Saccharomyces cerevisiae S288C: one gene and its partner. Each later gene encodes a partner of the first gene's protein in a complex. Each region holds a gene or a part of one and is shown on either strand. Other genes may lie near its edges.

Region 1 (3,065 bases):
ATCACTCAAATTTTTGATTACATTACCAATATCGGCTTGCCTGACTTGTGTCAATGCTTCAAGGACGCTCTTAAAATATTGCTCCTTTGTTGGAGCATCTGCACTGTATGGAGGATCGGTTGTGAGTAATTGAACGGCTCCCAAAGAGTCACCACTTGTGGCAAGCGAGCGCAATTGATTCATTCGAGGTTGTAATTCTTGTAATGTGACAGTAGTTTCGTATGGTGGTACCAGATCGGCAGCGGTTAGTCTGCCACTCTCTGGATCAAATGCATCGATGTCAATTCTCCTCCAATCGGCTTCCATTGCTTGATCGTTCGCGTGTGTTGTGTTGAGTCTTCTCTGGTCTCCTTTGCTATAGTATCTTGTGTTAAATGCGGGCTGTTTTTCTCTTATTTTGTTATAGGGGCAAAGTCTGAGAAAGGGAAAAAAGTATCCAAATTAACTGATGTGCGGGTAATCATAGACAACAAGTAGCAGAGTTTAAGTATTACTTATATTCAATAGTCGGGCGCTTCTTTGGGAGCTGGTTGAGACTCTCGAGTCCGTGAGTTTCTAGATTTATATACAGAAGTAACAGCAGCAGTAGGAGTGGCGGCGGAGAGCAATGGCCTGTTTCCACGGTACCTCGCGTCCAATGTGGAACTGCCGTATCTATCAGCGCTATATGCGGAGGAAGAAGTTTCCCTGCGTGGCAGCCTGGGAGCATAATTTCTTTCGGCGGGATTTGATGTACTTGCGCTTGCAAACCTTCCTGGAAGCCTGCTGTCTCTGTTGGAATAGCCTCTGCCTCCTAGGCCGCCGCCCAATCTTCTTGGCTTGAAATATTTAACGGTTCTGCCTCTTTCTATGTCGACTATGCAGATTCTGTCTTTGATTTGGATACCTCTGTGTACTCCAATCTCCTTGAATGCCATTTTACTACTTATTGGGTCTTTGAAAACTATGAAGGCGTAGCCTTTACTCTTCTGGGTTATCTTGTCCTTGACTATCCTAATTTTTTCGATCTCGCCAAACTTAACAAAATACTTTTGCAGTTCAATTTCGTCAAGATCGTATGGTAGCCTCCCAATAAATATCGTTCTGTAGGGATCTGTGTCCTTGATATGAGGGTCAACGTTAGGATTCCAATTTTGTAGTCTCCGGTCTAACAATTGAGCATTTTTGATCTTGGAAAGTTTGATGTCTTCGTATCTTTGGAGATGGTTGTTTGGAGATCCTTCAGGAAACTCCTCCATATAGTGCTTCAAAGAGGTTGATAGTAAGTTTGCAACGCCAGTGATATTTGGATTTGTTTGTCTCTTCGCATATGGGTAATCGGTTGGTCTTTTGTAAGATAAAGGTGGCCTTGGCTTGAAAAGTCTCGACACGTCGTCTGGATACTTGGATAGATTATAATTCATCAAGGTTGAGGTGCCGATTACTTTTTTAAGGTTTCCTTTCGACAGTCGATGACCGTGCTGTGTGTCATTATCTTGCAGTTCTTTTTTTCTTCAGATGCGTTAATTTCCTACGAAGGGCGCATACAATGGTGCTGATGGGATTTATGAGCAAAACAAGTAGGCGAGCAAGACATGAACGAAATTGTAATGAAGCGTACTTCCTTTTCCCTACAACCTTAAAAAGGTCTCACTGATATATCCATTCGCAATAATGACAAGATTTTTGCATGGGACTTCTTTTTTTCTTTTGAATAAGTCGCGTTATAAGGACAAAACATTAAAAAAAAATATGTATTGATTCACTGATTTATATATACAGAAGTAAGTACCGGGGTACCTAAATATACGCATAAAAGTCTCTTTCTTTTTTTTTTTTTTTTTTTTAGCTTCCTACATTTCGTTAATAATATTATATAGATTATATTTATATTTAAGAAAAGTAATATCAGCATATTATGAATAGACAAAAAAGTCTAAGGTCAAGATTTATTAAATGTTAGATTATTAAGATTACAATTAACAACATTTGTTGTTACTTCATAAAATTTCGTTACTTCATAAAAGAACTACAGTCCCCCACTTCTAAATGAGTGGTTGTAGGGGTTCATATACCTCCCATACTGTTGGAATAAAAATCAACTATCATCTACTAACTAGTATTTACGTTACTAGTATATTATCATATACGGTGTTAGAAGATGACGCAAATGATGAGAAATAGTCATCTAAATTAGTGGAAGCTGAAACGCAAGGATTGATAATGTAATAGGATCAATGAATATTAACATATAAAATGATGATAATAATATTTATAGAATTGTGTAGAATTGCAGATTCCCTTTTATGGATTCCTAAATCCTCGAGGAGAACTTCTAGTACATTCTACATACCTAATATTATTGCCTTATTAAAAATGGAATCCCAACAATTATCTCAAAATTCACCAACTCTTCACATACATACCTGCGGTAGCAAGATAGGTACACTTTTTCTACGTTTCACGAAGGTAGCGATAGGTACCTCACTCATTGTAGGTGCGGGGGTAGCGATGGAGGTTTCTGTACCATTACCACCACAGCCACTATACTCACGTAGTGAAGTCCCTAGCGTGGAATTGTGTGGTATCGTTGCTATCTGTCGTTCGCCACCCTCGGTATATCCAACGTGCAGGCCAATATCACTCTCTAAGAAAATCGTATCAGGATTGGTACGGACAAACTCTTCATAGCCTACGTCGAAATCAAATTCTGCTAAAGCTGTGACTGTAGTTAAACCTAAAACCGCGATTATTGCTTGAAAAACTGTGGAGAAATTCATGATGGACGGTCACGTTCAGGGTCTGAGAAAACCACTCATTCCTATGTCCCATGTGGTTGGTTGCAATTTGCTGCTATATATACGACTTGGCTGTAGAGAGATCTACGTAGGATGTGTCCACTATCAAGGGGGGTTTACCAACGTTATCTTCTATTTTAAGTGCTCAAATGAAGGTTGCATTATATCCCTGGCAGTTTTCCCGGCAATTTTGCCGGCCGCTTATAATAGTCATGGTGAAAGGATTGTTGCTTGTTGTGGTTGCAACATGACAGTTGCCTACTAACTAAATAATAATCAAAGTCAGTT
Region 2 (2,751 bases), on another chromosome or scaffold:
TATTTGTAATAAGAGAAAGCTTACCATTTTGCAGAGGATGGAAAGACTTAGGTCTATAAAATCAGCCAAATGGGAGAAATTGAAAAAATTTGAAAGCACTCTGATGCTTATGGGAAAATGTGTTCCTATTAGCACAAAGACTAAGACAGATATGATAAACCGCATAAGACAGCTGGCTGTCAGAATGGACTGGTTAATCTACGAAATTAAGAGAAGCGAGCTGTTTGTAAGTATCATAAAAGAAGTGACTCGCAAGCAGGCTGAAAAGAATATCTTAGAGCATGGTAAAGGAGAAGAGGAGGGGCAAGGCAATAACGACGATAGTGATGGTATAGATGATATAGAGGAAAGCTTCTTATTCAACGAGAACAGTTTGCAAGTGTGCGTGAGCGACAGTAGTTACGACGAATATAGTAACGAATAAGGGGAAGAAAATAGTACCATGGGTTATAAATGCATGTTATTTATTTATATATTTTTACATATTCTATATGTATGTGTTATACCTTTTTCTTTTTCTCGAAATGTCTATCCAGTCTATTGCTGCCAAGGTTTAAGATCCTAGGACAGCCATCTTTATCTTTACCTAAGCGGCAGCACTCCCAACAATAGAATGCGTCATTGACTCCAACATTTAGATTACAAATTATACAATTTTTAGCTTGTTTACCAAACGAACAGTTTTCACATACTCTAACTTTCCTTTTGGGCCTTACATAAGAGTCGCAGATAGGACATTTGCCATCACATTTTTCACAAAGAAGACCTGTCTGTACACCAGGCTGCTTTAGGCACATTATTAGATCAAACTGATGGCGGGACATGTTTTTTTTGTTGGAGGCTTGTATGTGTGTGGATCTTTTTTGTATCCATCTTCATTTTCTATGTTGAATGCCTTAGTAAGTGAGAAATATGGCAAGTAATGCATATATGGAAGAACAGAAAGTGAGAAAAAAAAATAGAAAAAAAGATGCAAGGAGTTGAGCCAAGGGAGAGACCATACCCTCAGCCAAATATCCAAATATCATATAAAAAGATGGAAGAGTGTCCTATTTGTTTGGCAGATGACCAAGAGGGTGAACAATTTGGATGTTTGAACGTTTGCGGGCATAAATTCCACTTAAACTGTATAAGAGAGTGGCACAAGTATAGTATCAACTTGAAGTGCCCCATCTGCAGGGTTGAATCCACCCATTTAGAAGTTGGCGAAGGGCAACATGCACTTTCTATAAATTTGAAGATGGGGTTTATGATTAAGAATGCTATCGATTATGTGGGGGCCGAAACAACTAACGAAAGAAATGAGGACGATACAGGGGAGCAAGACCAAGAAATAGAATTTCTCAGCGAAAGGCTTAGAGGTACGCTGGTGATGGATACCATTAAGATAATTCAGTGCAGCATATGCGGAGACACAGATGTTTCTCGATTAAGCCTGTATTGCCAAGACTGCGAAGCAATATATCACGAAACATGTCTACGCGGGCTAGCTTGTGAGGTGGGCGATCGCAATACGTGGCAGGAGTGCACAGATTGTAGATCAAATGCATTGCTCGAGCTGCGCATGGGTGCTATCAGTAGCCAACTTGCTAGCTACGATTCCAGGAATTCCATGATTTTTGCTGGTGAGTTACGGGACAAGCACAGCGTCAAGACACAGCAGATGTATGAACAGATACGGAATGCCAAGCACAAAATCCAGATGCACGTGCGACGAGCACTGGACCGGTACCCACTGCCTCTGCTGCGCTTCAAGGATGCCTACAAGCACGTCAACAAGCAAGTATCCCGCAAGTTGTACCGTCTCTCTGACAACAAGTACCTGCCTGACCAGTACGATTACGACTCTTTAGCCCGAACTGGAGTGCACACAGAACTCCTAATTTACTGTCATGATGAGTAGTAATGCAATATAACATTAAAACAAGATATAAACAGTATAATACTCTAGTATGAGCCCTAAAAAAAACCCTCAGAAGCGGGTGACCCATCTCTCGTACGACGTATAAAAGCACAAGTTTGACCCATAGAATTTTTTTTTCACATCTTCCTTTGTTTGCTTCTTCGTCTTCAATAGAAAACAGTTGAACAAACTCAAATATAGCACCATTGTGAGTGCTACTGCACTACAAAGAGGCAGATTAAGCGACCAGTAGGTCCCTTGGAAGAGATAATATATGAGTTCCTTTTTTCTTTTTCCATTTTCTTTCTGTGTGACTCCCCTATGATTAAAAATTATTAATCATATACCAATTGTTCCGACTGAATAGTGGTTTAACTACATGTCGACAACCCTTTTTCGTTAAGTTTCAGCCTTGTATGAGGGGTGCCACGGAAGGGAAGAAAAGAAAGCATTTATCTTTCATTATTATCTTTTTCATGCCTGCAATGGAATTTTTAATTTTCCTTTTGATATGATGATTTGTTGTCGACCGGGCGGACATATTAGTATCTGTTAAAGGGTCGCCGTCTACTCTCATCGTTCTTTTGTGTACAAATTTTTTAAAGGAGCGATGTTGATGGCATTATGGTTCTTTAGTGGAGAATTGATGATTGGTCACAAGACATCTGATTTTTTCGGAAATTTGTTTCTTATTTCAATTTATTCCTTATCAGTTGATTTGGATGATAAAAGAGACTGTTGCGGACTAGTTTATTATGATGATTTTTTTATATTCACACTGTACTAGATTGGTCTCTTTAACGAAGGGGCTAATTGATGACTACAAAATAAAAAATAACTGATTTAAT

The links. Proteins that work in one complex are often made in the same cells at the same time.
Region 2: SNP1 (region 1) and RDS3 share a complex: the UniProt entries of both Saccharomyces cerevisiae proteins name them as parts of the spliceosome.

The regions. Positions count from the first base shown.
Region 1 is NC_001141.2:244,157-247,221, forward strand, and holds SNP1 (U1 snRNP complex subunit SNP1), read right to left. Parts: upstream 1,404-3,065; coding exon 501-1,403; downstream 1-500. Other genes in the region: ARC15 (Arc15p), read right to left, coding at 1-306; YIL060W (uncharacterized protein), read left to right, coding at 2,236-2,670; YIL059C (uncharacterized protein), read right to left, coding at 2,394-2,759. UniProt on the Saccharomyces cerevisiae protein: Involved in nuclear mRNA splicing.
Region 2 is NC_001148.4:718,710-721,460, reverse strand, and holds RDS3 (U2 snRNP complex subunit RDS3), read right to left. Parts: upstream 825-2,751; coding exon 501-824; downstream 1-500. Other genes in the region: Arf family guanine nucleotide exchange factor SYT1, read left to right, coding at 1-424; ubiquitin-protein ligase ASR1, read left to right, coding at 1,037-1,903. UniProt on the Saccharomyces cerevisiae protein: Required for pre-mRNA splicing. Involved in regulation of drug sensitivity and may play a role in multidrug resistance.